Kluyveromyces lactis: one gene and its partners. The main gene of each other region encodes a partner of the protein of the gene in region 5 in a complex. Links are inferred from orthologs where the notes say so. Each region holds a gene or a part of one and is shown on either strand. Other genes may lie near its edges. The genes, in order: DAM1, DAD4, ASK1, DAD2 and DAD1.

What was found.
Region 1: the proteins of DAD1 (region 5) and DAM1 are in contact, whole or in part, in a cryo-EM structure (PDB 8Q84), measured with the Saccharomyces cerevisiae proteins. The link is inferred for Kluyveromyces lactis from reciprocal best matches to the Saccharomyces cerevisiae genes DAD1 and DAM1. Residues at the interface, in NP_010299.3 of Saccharomyces cerevisiae: Arg24, Leu28, Ile31, Asn32, Met35, Ile38, Leu39, Leu42, Leu45, Asn46, Leu49, Glu50, Ser52, Ile53, Gly56, Arg57, Phe59, Gln60, Ser63, Trp66, Lys67, Leu69, Tyr70; in NP_011628.4 of Saccharomyces cerevisiae: Ile59, Leu62, Leu63, Lys66, Ile67, Glu69, Leu70, Ser73, Thr76, Leu77, Asn80, Phe81, Arg83, Leu84, Ile87, Ser90, Leu91, Asp93, Leu94, Glu96, Ser97, Leu98, Ser100, Leu101.
Region 2: DAD1 (region 5) and DAD4 share a complex: the UniProt entries of both Saccharomyces cerevisiae proteins name them as parts of the DASH complex. The link is inferred for Kluyveromyces lactis from reciprocal best matches to the Saccharomyces cerevisiae genes DAD1 and DAD4.
Region 3: DAD1 (region 5) and ASK1 share a complex: the UniProt entries of both Saccharomyces cerevisiae proteins name them as parts of the DASH complex. The link is inferred for Kluyveromyces lactis from reciprocal best matches to the Saccharomyces cerevisiae genes DAD1 and ASK1.
Region 4: DAD1 (region 5) and DAD2 share a complex: the UniProt entries of both Saccharomyces cerevisiae proteins name them as parts of the DASH complex. The link is inferred for Kluyveromyces lactis from reciprocal best matches to the Saccharomyces cerevisiae genes DAD1 and DAD2.

What each region holds. Positions count from the first base shown.
Region 1 is NC_006038.1:998,943-1,002,217, reverse strand, and holds DAM1 (Dam1p), read left to right. Parts: upstream 1-1,386; coding exon 1,387-2,328; downstream 2,329-3,275. Other genes in the region: cytochrome oxidase assembly protein SHY1, read left to right, coding at 1-903; high-affinity Cu transporter CTR1, read left to right, coding at 2,967-3,275. UniProt on the Saccharomyces cerevisiae protein: Component of the DASH complex that connects microtubules with kinetochores and couples microtubule depolymerisation to chromosome movement; it is involved in retrieving kinetochores to the spindle poles before their re-orientation on the spindle in early mitosis and allows microtubule depolymerization to pull chromosomes apart and resist detachment during anaphase.
Region 2 is NC_006039.1:1,465,604-1,468,082, reverse strand, and holds DAD4 (Dad4p), read left to right. Parts: upstream 1-1,655; coding exon 1,656-1,874; downstream 1,875-2,479. Other genes in the region: oxysterol-binding protein related protein OSH3, read right to left, coding at 1-1,100; snoRNP complex protein NOP10, read right to left, coding at 2,096-2,269. UniProt on the Saccharomyces cerevisiae protein: Component of the DASH complex that connects microtubules with kinetochores and couples microtubule depolymerisation to chromosome movement; it is involved in retrieving kinetochores to the spindle poles before their re-orientation on the spindle in early mitosis and allows microtubule depolymerization to pull chromosomes apart and resist detachment during anaphase.
Region 3 is NC_006039.1:1,071,734-1,074,946, reverse strand, and holds ASK1 (Ask1p), read right to left. Parts: upstream 1,485-3,213; coding exon 828-1,484; downstream 1-827. Other genes in the region: MDM35 (Mdm35p), read right to left, coding at 323-577; SFK1 (Sfk1p), read left to right, coding at 2,379-3,213. UniProt on the Saccharomyces cerevisiae protein: Component of the DASH complex that connects microtubules with kinetochores and couples microtubule depolymerisation to chromosome movement; it is involved in retrieving kinetochores to the spindle poles before their re-orientation on the spindle in early mitosis and allows microtubule depolymerization to pull chromosomes apart and resist detachment during anaphase.
Region 4 is NC_006037.1:700,754-703,392, reverse strand, and holds DAD2 (Dad2p), read right to left. Parts: upstream 1,348-2,639; coding exon 949-1,347; downstream 1-948. Other genes in the region: NUP133 (Nup133p), read left to right, coding at 1-860; SGO1 (Sgo1p), read left to right, coding at 1,884-2,639. UniProt on the Saccharomyces cerevisiae protein: Component of the DASH complex that connects microtubules with kinetochores and couples microtubule depolymerisation to chromosome movement; it is involved in retrieving kinetochores to the spindle poles before their re-orientation on the spindle in early mitosis and allows microtubule depolymerization to pull chromosomes apart and resist detachment during anaphase.
Region 5 is NC_006038.1:608,818-611,658, forward strand, and holds DAD1 (Dad1p), read left to right. Parts: upstream 1-1,557; coding exon 1,558-1,845; downstream 1,846-2,841. Other genes in the region: inositol polyphosphate kinase KCS1, read left to right, coding at 1-561. UniProt on the Saccharomyces cerevisiae protein: Component of the DASH complex that connects microtubules with kinetochores and couples microtubule depolymerisation to chromosome movement; it is involved in retrieving kinetochores to the spindle poles before their re-orientation on the spindle in early mitosis and allows microtubule depolymerization to pull chromosomes apart and resist detachment during anaphase.

The DNA of each region.
Region 1 (3,275 bases), about 390 kb from region 5:
TTAGGAACCTGGCAATTAAGAAGATTGAAATGGAAAACCAATCTAATTGCTTCCTGCGAAGACAAATTAACCTACGATCCTATTCCGTTACCTAAAACGTTTACACCGGATATGTGCGAAGACTGGGAATACCGCAAGTGTACTATGACCGGTAGATTCTTGCATGATGAAGAGATTTTTGTCGGCCCCCGTGTTAGAGGAGGGATCAAGGGGTACGTTTTATATACGCCTTTCATCAGAAAGGATACGGGAGAAAGAATTTTGATTGAACGTGGTTGGATCTCGGAGGAGAAAATCGTTCCATCATCTCGTAACTTGCAACATTTGTCTTTACCTCAAGGCGATAACGTGACAATTACAGTGTTAGTGCGTGCAGCTAAAGATTTGACATCAATGCAATGGAAGAAGGAAGACAGGGAGAGTAGATTGTGGCAAGTCTTGGATATTAAGGATATGACAGAGATGACACATACTTCTCCTATTCATTACCAAGCTCTTTACGATCTGAAAGATCACCATTGGGATGAAGAATCAAAATCTGAGGGTATCGATAACAAAAACCAATCATCTTGGAAATTCTGGTCTAAAAAGAAAACCGAAACAGAACCACAACAAGAAGAATCCGAGAAACCACACGTCAACACGAAGAAAGTAAATACAGCAGATTCGGAGACAGGATTGGAATTTAACGAGTTCCAATTCGTTAAAGCGGGAGTGCCTATTGGTAAAGCACCAAAGATTGATTTGAAGAATAATCATTTACAATATTTAATTACTTGGTATGGGTTATCTCTGCTTTCATCTATCTTCCTTATCATTGCACTAAGACGTGGTCGTGGTTCCGCTATGTCACAGGATGAAATAAAGAGGCAAAAGCTAAAACATGCCAAGAAGTTCATGTGATAAAGAAACACATATTGATATTCTCAGGAATTTCTATCTCGATCCCATCATTTCCTTCAATTTTCTAGTATTCGAGATACTCAAATTCCAATAAATTATATTCAAGCAGTTAATTACTAAACACATAGTAGTATCAACCTTGTTTGTACCTGTAAATACTATTATAGCTATTTTGAATGATTTTCATTCCTGTTGATGAATACTAACTAACTATCGTTGAAATACTTGTACATCGAAAATCGAAAACGTAAATAAAGTAAAGCAAAACAAAAACACGAACAGTAAGGTGTCTCCAAGCAGACAGACGGAATGCGATAGTGTCTCTTTGGGCAACCTGGTATCTAATTTGACATCTCATAGACAGTCTGAGGTAAATTCATTACTTGTTTTTTTTTTTTTTGACCTTTCATCTTAAATTCTCAGGGCTACTTGGCACTATTCCAAACTCAACATAAAACTGCTGGATTCATCTGCTCATAAGATATGTCTCAAAGGCCAAATACTCCACAGCGGGACAGGCCAACTGAATATAGACTATCTTTGTCATCTAATGCAAGCTCAAGAAGATCTAGTTTAGGCAACAACGGTCGAGATCAGCATGCGTCAAATCAAACAATGATTGAAAAATACGTGCTCCCACAATTACAGGAACTTTCGGACTCGATGGTAACACTCGATGGTAACATGACGCACATGAATTTCATTCATGAATCGATAGCGGATTTAAATGAGGCTCTAAGCGCTTTATTATACGGATTGATGTGTAACTCTTGGTGTGTTGATTTCCCGAACATATCTCATGATACTCCGCATGAATTGAAATTAATCCAAAGACTAGAAGAGTTGAAACAAGAAAGACAAGCACTACAGGCGAAACTCAAGCCAAAGGAACTTACCAAAGGAAGCATATTACCTCTTTCAAGACAACCTTTATCACGAGGTTCTCAGATGTTGTATCGTGATGAAAATGTGCCAGGTTCTACTGCAAGCTCGAATGTTAACATTGACATTAACGATGACGAAGATAACACAGCCGCTTCGTTTGTATCCAACCCAACTACTTTCAAACCTCAAATGATATCTTCAGTAGGAGCTTCAACTGACTTTATGGGAAAACAAACGGTAGGCTCCGCGTCATCGAAACTCAGAAGAAGATCCATTCTACATCAAATACGAAACAACGCTGCAATAGGCACTATACCTAATACACTAACAGGTATTACTCCTGGAGAAAGAAAAAGATCACTAGCAGTCAGTGCAAAAAGAATTCCTATCTTGGCAGGATCATCGACTACCGCTGGCTCTGCCTCTTCTGCTAATCGTGAATCTACAAATACAGAGCCCGCTCTACCGAATAGAGTTGTAAGAACAAGACAGAGAACCTATAATCCAAAAAACCTTGCAAGCAGGCCTCCTTTCAGGTAACGAGTTATTTGATACTTCTTACCAGAGCTTTTTTCTAGATACATATTCATACCGTGTGTATATCTACCAAACAATGTAATATTACAACGTCAGTTAACAAAATGAAGAAAAAAAAATTACTGAAGGTACTCAGTAAAGATTGAAGTGCTCTATGAGGCTGCTCTTACCGCTTATCAGTGATACATGAACGTTCTCGTTTCAAGTGAAGTCTCGTTCGATTTACTTTTATTCGAGTTGAGCTTATTGAGCAAATAAAGGCCGCCCTCTTCATTTCATTCTGCAAGGAATTCTGTGAAGAAAAATGACCGAAGTTACAGAGAACATAAATCAATGAAAGAGCTAACATAAAGAATGAGATGAGAAGATTTTGAGAAGGTATTGGTTGTACATTTTAAATATAAGAAAGTGGCATATAAGTGTTTAGCCATACATCTTGATCAGTTCCATTCTAGCTGCTGACGGTTACACACCAGAAACATTGATGTTTTTTTGTTGATTTTAACTCTTTGTTCATTCACGTATTGGGAAGCGATTGACGAAGAAAAGAATAACTGCACAGTTGGCTTGGGTTAATCAAAAGAGCCACAACCGACACTATCCAAAAACCCCATCGACAGATATCAATAAAGCCTTTCAACATGAATATGCACGCAGGTGATACTACCACCTCAGCCAGTGCCATGGCCATGAGTACTAGTACTTCCAGTTCTATGTCTGGAATGGACATGGATGGTGGTTCCGAAATGACTGGAATGAACTCTTATCTCACAAGAAAATATATGAACTATCCCGTTGTCTTTGAGAAACTCTATGCTTCTGATCGCGGTGAAGCATTTGGTATCTTCTTGCTTATCGTTGTTGCTGCCTTTGTATACAAATTCTTGTTATTTGTGAGCTGGTACCTAGAATTGAAATGGTTCAAGAAGGCAGGAGTCAATGAGGAAGCT
Region 2 (2,479 bases), on a different chromosome or scaffold from region 5:
TTATGCGATTCGTGATCTTGCGAAGTAGTTGGGGCGTCTTGTTTGAAACATGACTCGATCATTGAAATCCAAAGTTCCCAATCTTTTTCGTCACGAGCTTTCATGACCCAGATCTCCATGCCTGAGTCAATGATAATAAGTTTAGTTTGCTTATTTGCACTTATTGATGAAAGTGGGACAACAATCTCACCACGACACACAGGAGATTTAGAGTTGAGATAATATGAGAGAATCCCAAATTTTATATCGAGTTTAAAGAACCGTTTGGTAAAACCTTGTAGCTTCTTTCTCTTCTTTTTTAGTAAATATCCTTGGAATCCTTTACTGTTTTTCAAATCGTGATCTGTCGCGGATGTAGAACTTGGACTCAGTGGTTTTATTGGCACTGGAGAATTAGTGTTTGGTCCGTTAGATGTACCCACGTTGGAAATTGTGCTTGGAGTAGTCTGGCCTGGAGATGGCGCAAATGGATTGGAATTCGATTTTGCTAATGAGGACAAAGATGGATCCTTGAATGACGTTTGGCTATAATTCAAAGGTCGCTTGCCATTCGTCCCATTGGCACCAAAGCTTTCCTCTTGGTTTGAAATGACGGATTCCTGATCGTCATCCAAACCTTCCATTGCCGATGCACTAGGGTTGATACTCACCGAAAATAAACATTTTTTCTTAGTCTGCTTCGAAGTAGTATTGTCTAAAATGAACGCGTAATAACAACTCTCACAAGTTGATTCGAACGATTCGGCAACGGTATCGTTGTTAGAAATGGTCCCATACCAGGTCACCTTTTCCAGACCGCTTTGTGCTAACCTTGTTTGCAACGGCACGTTTTTGTCCTTTTCGTGATCTGCCAAGGCAACGTTAGGCTTGGCATCGGTTGAAATTCGAATTAACGGATTAGTATTACTATTCGAAGAAGCTTTTACACTCCCATGGTTTGTTTCACTCAAATCAGTCGTGGATGATCCACCAAACCGTCTGTATATACCAAACCCTATCGATTTTTTCAAAGGTTTCAACCGAAACGAAACTATATCACCTTGAGAAACTTTCTGCCAACGCACAACAAATGATTTATTTTGAACGTCAATAGTATCCATGTTTGATGCCGAAAAAAATTTAATAGTTACAATTGAATCACTCTCGAAACTAAGTAGACGTTCCAATCTACCTTTATCGGTCGGTTATTCGCTGAAAAATCAATTCTGAATAAGAGAGATTAACCAGGGGAAAAGATCAACAAACACCTGATAGGCACGCAGTAAGAATGGTAATTATTCACAGGTGAAATTTAACTGACAATATCCGTTACCAGCAATTATCACCAAATTGATATATGATGCCCGCCAAAAGCTCGAAACGCACACTAGAAGTCTGTTATAGATGAAATTTGGATCCTTGTTTACTTCAAATTAAAGGTTTAGTTTATTATACTCAAGCTTTTTTTTAATTCATTTTCACTGAGAAGCTGCTTTGGGGCAGGTACTAATTTTCATCATTTAAAAAAAAAAAAAAAAAGGTTTATAATAGCATCCAACATGTATTCAAATGCAAAACATCGGTCAAAAATGTAAACCACAAGGAAAACACAGGCACTAGAGGCTACAAAACTGGTGTATAACTATCCGTCATCAGTTATATTTGTGATACATACCATGGAAAACCCGTATGAGAAAGTTCAAAGCAATATTCTGGCTAGAATCATTGGCAATGTCGAAAGGTTGAACCAGAGTGTAGTGATACTAAACCAAGAGCTTCGAAGGGTAAACACCAAGAATAAGAATTTGGAACTGATGTCACAAATGTGTGAGAACTATAGAGAATCTGTTGATTTCCAGTTGCAGGCAACTTCCAAGAAACAGGACCCATTGTAAGGTCTCACATATATTCTAACGAGAAGAATTTATTAAAAAAAAAAAGCAGTTACTTAAGTGATGTAGTATGTACGTATATACATACGCCTTTTTATAGTCGGTTTCAGGACCGTACTGATTCTAATTTACAGATAATAATGGATTAATTTTTTTTGTTCATGTTCAGTGAGTTTTAACCGGTGCAATTTTGTCTGCGGATTGTGTTCCAACTTGTAGGGACCTTAGTTTGGCAAAAGGTTGTATCTCTTCTTCAAAGTAACTCTTTGTCTGGAGTATTTGTCATCTGGAGAGAATCTAGCAGGGTGAGCAGACTTTGTAATTTCATTATCCTCAGTCATCTTCTTCAAAGTATAGATTCTCTTGCCTTGGGCATCCAAAGTGTACATCAAATGCATAGTGGGTAGTGGGTAGAGTGTGATAGATGCTTTTGGTTGGAAGTGAAAAGGAACTAGATATATGGATAACAAGACACTTTCTTTCAAGCGATGAGCTATACCGATCAGTTAGTTAATGCTATGTTGAAAAACTGATTATATCTCTTTGAAAATTTAGCAGATGCACTTGATGGAAAAGAAATATTCCAGTTCGTATCATGTGATCTGATG
Region 3 (3,213 bases), on a different chromosome or scaffold from region 5:
TTTGAATTATTATATGCAGAATTATGTAGGTGTCTCTGAAGGCTACCCCAATTAAGAGAGTTGCACAGCAGATATCACAAAGGACGAACGTTGCCCTGACTTACGGTGGAGAAAGGATTAAGGTATAATCACGTAGCGGTGGTACAACTTCAGTCGAAACTCCTGGTAATGTTAACCCTACTGTGGTCAAAAATACGCGCTAGGTATTGTATTGTATTCTCTATTTACAGAGGTTTCAAATGAAACCCATTTTAATTTATTTTATACTTAGATTCATCATAGCGAATGGCGCAGGTATGTATGCGTTTCTTTGGTCCGCAATTCAAGGCTCTACAGGTTTTCCGTCATTCTCGAATGGTGCTTCCTTACGTGCTTCATCTAGAGCTGGTTTTATGCCTTGTTTCACCAAGCTAGCTTGGACACATTCCATATATTCGTACCATTCGGTTTGGCATTCGTTTTCAATTGACTCACCTTTCAAAAATTTCTCGCTGTACCAGTCGTTAAAACATTTATCGTACTTACCCTTCAAAGGTGTACACTCTGTAGCGAAACTTGCACTCATCACGTTACCCATGGTAGTTTTGTGGCGTATCTTGTATCGTATATGAATACTCACTTAGTCTCTGCATCGCACATAATCAGAATGTCAAATTCACCATGTAGAAATCCGATTGAAAACGAAGCTATAGAAGCATGAAACTAAAAAGGAAAGTATTATATCACGTGATTGTTCGTTCAGGTCATAGGATCTGGAACCCTGAGTAACAATGTATACCTCACACACTATGATATAGAAGTGAGTGGGGGAAGGCTAAGACAGAGCTTCAATCGCGTTTGCTGTTAAAATGAATAACGGTTCCCGGCTTGGCCAATTCGCCCTGGATTTTGTTATGTGTTTCTGTCCCAGTTTCTGTTTCCGGGGGGATCGTCTTTATTGGGGAACTGTTTGCAGAGATATCATTCTCCATTGAAGAATTAGAAGATGACGACGAATTGAAATGTTGGTGAATTTGTAACGAAACTTTTCTCTTCTTCCTCTGTTTTTCCATTGCACTATCCTGAGTCAACTCATCGGTATCCTGATCTTGAAATTGATCCTGTTTTACCGATCCTCCTGTTTTCGTGGTGGGGGCACCAGCGGAACTTACTCCGGTTTGAGATAAAGCAGGGTATTGATCGACTGTATGGAACTCATCAGTTTCGTTTTCTACCTCTGGAAATAAGGAAGTCCGGGGCTCCAAAACCTGACCCGCAGATTCCACAGCCTGATCCGTCACCAACTGAACATTAGCACTCTGCTGAAACATTTCTTTCAGCCACGAACTAGAATTCGTGATATCTTCACAAGTCTGTCCATATCGCGTCACGTACGGTATTATATCCTTTGTTATCTTGTTGAAACAGTACGAGAGGTCTGAATCGATTGATTGTAAATTTAACGTGATCTCTTGATCTATTTGTTCAATATTCACTGCATCCATGATGTAAAACAGGAAACCTAGTGTTAGCTAATTGGCACAGACTAATTGCGTCCTTTTCCTTGTTTACTGTAATATTTATAACAACGGACACCGCGTCCTGTTACCTGTAACCGTCACTATTTACACTTCCAAATCCAAATCCTTTCTGTCAAACCGGTTTGTTGACTTTTTGGTCAAATTCATATTTCCTCTTGTAACTCTAAGAAGAAATTTGAAATGACATAAAGAAAGTCTCTGCAATGCCAAGGTAACTTTCTGCAGATCAACGAAGAAGCGCTAGGCTGATTCGGATGAGGCTTACGATATTTCCAAGCTGAAAGTATAAACTAAACTACATAATACGTACTGATTCAAGGACACCGGTCACGTCTGCTATTCAAGGGTATCAATGGCTTAGAAGGCTCTGCCTACTCGGAGTGGAAAATTAGATATCATCCATTACGTTATCCATCCTTGCTCTTAAGCCTCGAAACCTATTAGTAAAGCATCGAAAGAAAACCTTTTTTTTTTACTGGAGCAAATATCGCAACAAAGCGCCCAGAAATCGCGCAGGGTGTCTCAAGCTAGTGTATCATCGAGCCGATTGACAGTTACATTCAGTGAATAGCAAGTTGTAATTTAAGGCATCAGTGACAGCATCACTGCAGTGCCATACACAAGCCATGCCATATAAAAGCATATATATATAAATATGTCAAATATAGTTTATATTGTTTTTTATTCGTGGAAGTCGGGTTTTAGATATATAAGGAAAAGAATGAGTATATTATACCAGCCGAATTTGACGGGACAAGGTCAACATAGCTCATTCCTTTAAAGAATATCACTGGTAGACATTCTCATAAGGATTGGATTTGATACAGGTATAAACGTAAACCGCAAGACTATACTAATATGTTTCCACGTCCAGGTAACTACTGGTTTATCTTTCCCTGGATAGCTTTCATTCCATGGTATGGGATGCTAATTGCGATGTTGGCATGTTGGGCAGGACAAGGTCATCCCATTTATTGGTTCATGCATACAGACCAGTTCCCGGTTTATATATCCCATATTGGTGCGACCAATTTAAAACCGTTGTTTATTTCTTGTGCGGCATGGCAAGGTCTAGGATACGTAATCATGGTTGCTCTAGAGTATTTTCAAAGATCTGGTCATTGGCCTTTCAAGTTACCGTATACTTATCATGATGACTTAGAAAAATCTAACGATAGCTCTATAATGGAATCGAACTACATCGAAGCTTTAATTCAGAAGAAATATGTCATGCCTCCATTTTTTACCAAACATGAACGGAATCTAGTATGGGCCTCATTCGTACTAGGAAGTATAGGTGAATTGGCTTTGCTTATGTGCACTATCTTCTCAACAAACACGTATCCTAGGGTGCACAGTTCCATGGTGGGTATATTCTGTGCATTTGTCGGATTGAGTGTAATTTGTCATGTCGCACAATATATGACAATGGGCAGACACTACGCTGTCGTCCATCCTCTTACAAGTAGTGAAGATATCGGCAAAGACACAAGGTGGAATGAATGGCACGGCCATGTTTGGAACAAGTATACTATCAGTGGCTTACTAAAGGCATTTTGGGTAATAGCTGCTTTCGTTTGGGCTATTTGTTTTGCATGCTTAGAAGATAGATCAACGACTGCCTGTTTTGAATGGCTATTGGCATTTTGGTTCGGATTATATTTCATTATTGTCTCTGTTGACTGGTATATTG
Region 4 (2,639 bases), on a different chromosome or scaffold from region 5:
GTGAAACCCATTCAGAATATTTGGACCAGTTCTTAGGAGAATGTCCCGAGTATGGCAAAGTTAAATGGATTGGAAACATATATTGCCATAAATACGACGAAGCAACTACAACTTTGTTGAGTATTTCTACTGGAACTCAATCGCTGGGTCAAGATTTGAAACAAAGACAGGCACAATTGAGTATTGCCAAATTAACAGCTCTTGCCGCGGAAGTTCAAGATCTTGAAAAGCTAAACGAAATTCAAACCGAATTAGATCTCATCGATGGGCAAATTCTTCTATCCCAAGAACTACAAGAATCAACTCTCAACCCACTATTCAAAGACTTTACCACCTATCGAACTTTGTTCAAATATTTGAGCGATGCTGTGAAGAGGAGAGAATCTCTCTCAGTGCCGCATATGATAGAATTATTCACACTATTAAATCAAGATACTTCTTATGGATTTGCATTGAGTATCCTTGCCATTGATCACACGTTACCCACTGAAGTAAAAAAGTACTGCGAGTACCAGATCTGGAGAAGGTGTCTCTTATCCGATGAAAATGCGGTTAGACAAACTTTAAGGGTCTTTTTCAAGCAGCAGTTCTACCATCAAAGTATCGAACTTCCAATCATCGACAACTTGGCCAATGAGAAATTGATCACTGACTCATACCTGGATGGCATGTACCATGGACTAACCGATCTTAATAAATTAGCTAGCGACGTCAAACGAGAGGTTGCTCTTTTCGCTAATTCGAATTTGGACGTTACGATGTTACAATCCATCATTGGAGAAATCAACGAGGAAACCGGTAACCAATGTGTCATCAATTACGCAACTAACACAATCGAGACAAGTCCCACATCTTTCTAATTCAATAATAGAAGAAGGTGCCACACCAATTAATTGTACATAGTATAAAACCTGTTTATACACCATATGTATATATTCAATAAAAACGTTATTCAACGTCATCTGCAACTTTCACCCGTACCAAAGTTTCCGGAAGCGGAGGTAATTGATCCTGTTGCCGCTGCTGGTTATCTTCTGAACTTTCTGACGCAGCACTTTCATCTTCAGCGCCCTGTTGGTTTCTATGTTCCTCTTTACTGGCCCATTTCCCAGTCTCATAGTCGTTTTCTGTATACTGAAGTAAAGATATCGAAGCCTGAGAGATAGACCGAAGAACCGAGTCCCAATTAGCCATTACGTCTTTAACAGTCACAGCATTGCTATTCATCTGCGCTACCTGAACGCTCAGCTCGTCCAATTGAGCCTTTAATTTCTGTGTCAATGCAGAAACATGCTTCAAATAATTCAATTCTCTTCTCTTAGTCTCGATCTCGGTTTCAAATGCCATACTGACAACTTTTTTTCAGGTGACCCAAACCTCTTACTCTTCAGCTAGAATATATCATCCAACTCGCTCCGAGAAGTGTCTATCTTAGCTGATAATTCTTGGTTCTTCTAGTCTTTGAAAGAATTCACATTGTAGAGATTAGTTCAAAGTCGTGATTTCATATTATTCCGATATTGAAATAAAGGAAGAAAACTCGAGAAAACCGACTTGTATCAGGGGAGATTGATCTATACAAGCTACGCTAAGCATTAACACCGCTATTTAGAATGAACGAAGGGTTGGATAACATCAAATTGCCCATTACATGTCCAACTTACCTCATTTGAATTAAATGTAGTACTAAATATGATCCGGGTAATCTTGTTTTTTTGTGTTTACATCGTAGAACAAAACGTAAACAATGAAAACATTCAAAGCTTTAGATCTCATTCAGCGTTTAAATAACCTGTTCATTGACTGAAAGAAGAGCGATTCCTAAGTCTATAGGGACCCGAATTGACGGCGGATAGTGTTACTAAGTTTTGTGAGAGTGCAACATGAGCGCTTCTTCGCAGTACGATGAATTTCAAGCTATGCTTGAGCAACAAAAGGGAATTTATTTACAGCAGAACAGTCAGCTTGCGAAATATAATTCCAGTCTTATGATGAAAATCACTGATATGGAGACTAAAGTGAGTGAATTGGTGCAAGAGAATGTTTCCTTACGGTCGCGGCTTTCTATGGGTGAATTGCGCTATCGTGAGAAGCTCAATACTGTTTTCCAGACGTTAGAGGACGGAATTGTAGAAAAATTCTTGCAAATGAACCAATTGTTGACCACAGTACGGGAGAGCCAGGGTTTAGAATCAGGTATTCATGATAACCCTCTTAAACCGATTTTGAGAGGCTCGAATGGTATAAGCCCGAGATCTGCGAAGAAAGTGGAGTTTACTGGTGCAAATACCACAACGAAACCAGTTGGGTTTGAGGATCCAATTGCGGAAGATAACCATGAAAATAGCGGGAATAGTCTCGAGCTGAATGATGATGAGGTACGACCTCTGAGAAAGAGGAGGCGTAAGAGTTCACGGAGAGAGTCGTTGTTCATTCCTGCAGATTTCGAGTTTAACGATGAGGACCCGGAACTAGAACTGAATCAACTGCCGATAACTGAGGATGAACCGCCGCCTAGTACTGCAGCCACCTCAGTACCTGAGGAAGAGTCTCAGGAGAACAAGCATACAAAAGAAGAGCGTGAAGACGAGGGAAAAGAGAATGTCTCTACGATACCTTTGGTACCGGTCCTTCCATCT
Region 5 (2,841 bases):
TTCTTATACGATGGCGAGTCGAAAAGAAGTATCGTTAAGCAAATTCCTATCTTGATTCAACAATTAGATACTTTATACAGTGAAATCGCGAAGCTGAAATCATACAGATTGTACGGATCATCTTTGCTCTTATTTTACGATGGCGACAACCCTCAGAACAAACGATCTCGGGTGAAGGTAAACATTATAGATTTCGCTAGGTGTGTCACTGATCGTGATATAGAAAAGTCACTAGATCGTTTTAAGATTGCACCTCATTTCCCAAACAGAGAGGATCAGGGATTCCTTCGAGGTATAAAATCCTTGAAGTTCTATCTAGTTCATATTTGGAATTTTTTAACTAACGACGCCGCTATGGTCCAACATGGAGAGCAGCTAACGCAGTTTTTGGAAGATAATATAGACAAATTCAATTCCAACTGGGACTGGCTAGATGAATACGATAAAGAAGATGACGCCGAGGCCTGCAATGCGGAAAGTCCTTTGCGCGTAAAATGGCGGAAATATGAATTGATCTTTGACATTGAGCCCAGATACGCTGATGACGAAGTCAGCGACTAAGGCCAATCATTTGAATAAGAACCAAATTTTTTTACTCTCAATTACAACTACATCCAAACGACATATTCTTGTTAGTGCAATACAGCTTCAGCATAATTTATATATAAGCTTGTACGTAACTACCGTGTAAGTATAATTCGGTTTTTGCTTTGCAGCTAAGGCTAAAAGTCATAGGTTTTAGCATTGTTACCTGGTGGAAAGTTGCGGGCTACACGAGTCGATTGTTGTGGTTTGTATTTGTTTGAACAACGATAGGGTTATATCGATATAATTTTTGAAGATCGGATAACAGAACTTAAATTGTTCAAGACTGATAAGATTTATTCTCCCAGCTTAGAGAGACTAGCCAAGAGTTGAAGATGCCTTGGCCAGCCAAATATACTGGTTGATTTTTACTTGCCCTTTTACGCTAAAGAAACTTTCAAGAACTATGTAATATGGTGAAAGAGTAAGCATTCAATAACTTTTTCCATTTTATATCCGAGAGAACATCGGTAGGGTAAGCTGAATATGATGTGAAAGGGCAGTCAGTCGTATTATATAGCTTGGCGTGAGATGAAGATCGTTTGCTAATCCAGGTTACCAGTATTTCGCTTAAAATTAGTGGTTTCTTACATTTGCTATGTCTTTCAAACGTCTGTATATGTGCCAATGATAATCCTTGCCGGTAACATCTTGATTTCATATTTGAAGGTAAATTGGCAGTGAAGATTCAAATACCGCAGATCGCGATATTCGCCTATTTTAATGTCTAATTGAGCTGCTAAATGTTCCAATTACCTAAGCTTTGGAGCCAGTTGGTTCTCAGCGATACACCAGGTTTCTGTCATCAACGACTTAGTATCTTTATGAGAAGCGGACAGTTTTATTAAAACATTTAGATCATGGAAATACACGAAAAAGGTAAACTGATATGCATTGTATATCGAGGGTCATCGGAAAATAACAGGAGTCCCGATTTGCATACACTGAGGGCCCAACATATAGCAAGCAGCAATGACAGAAGAGGTTCAACAGCTATCGACAGGCGACAAATATTTCATCGAGCAAAGAAGTCTGATATTACAAGAGATCAACGAAAGCATGGATGCCATTTTGAATCAATTAAATGGGTTAAACATTACCCTTGAAAATAGTATAGCAGTCGGGAAGGAATTTGAAAACGTATCACAGATATGGAAACTGTTCTATAATGGGCTTGAGTCTGAAGAACAGAATATGGAGACGGTAGGAGTAGCAGATTCTGAACATATTACGGAGGATGTCAATCCTGAAGGGAAATAGAGAATTGGTTTTATATCAAGAAAGGCACAAATTGAGGAACTTGATAAGCTTTGCAGATAAAACTTACCAGCCAATGAACTACAGCAACGTGTCGCATCATAAGTATTTTTCATCAGTTGTTTGTTCTAGAAGTGTGCTTCTATAGACGGTATATATATGTAGACCGTTTGGTACAGGATAAAAAGAAAGTTAAGAACACGCCACATATTTTTCATCAGTTTCTGCTTAAATTTCGTGCGTCTTCTACTAATCTCTTGATTTGCATCCGAAGCTATACTTGTATTGAAGGGAAATGGGGCAATATGTTTAACACCCTCGAGGAAAACAAGTGCATACTGACAGAAGGGATTGTGGCATTTAGCGTTACTTTTTGCTGGGCAACAACAAGAAGTTGGTTCCTTGGCCCAGTTGGTTAAGGCACCGTGCTAATAACGCGGGGATCAGCGGTTCGATCCCGCTAGGAACCATTCTTTTTTTCAAAAATTCCTCTCTTTCTTAAGTATACAATGTAACGCTGAACCTCTTAATAATACGGAATATCTTCCATCAGTCAGTCGAAGTGAGCAAATGGAATATTATCACCCACAATGGTAATGCTGGTCCCCCTGCCTACGTTATTATCCTATATTCTCTATCTTTAAGTCCAATGCAGCTTGACGCGACTTTTCTCTTTTGAGCAAAAAACAACTTTCTTCAATAGAAAGAGAATCTGCAATTTGATGTTTAAACAGATCAAGTTCTGGAGGAGTAAAACAGATGTTTGGTCTTTAAATAGGCCTTTGGTTCTATTATAGAATATATGATGGGTGCGGAATCACGATCGGTATTTGTGTGATGCAATTTCTGGGGTGGTAAGGACCAGTGCCACACTTGGGTTTGATTTTCCTCTCATCGAGTTTCGTGTGCGCATGTTCGTCTCTCACATCGAGTTATACTCTCATCTTCTATACATTAGAAGGATGCATCAGCAGTTTGATCTGCTGAAAGAGTTCATAC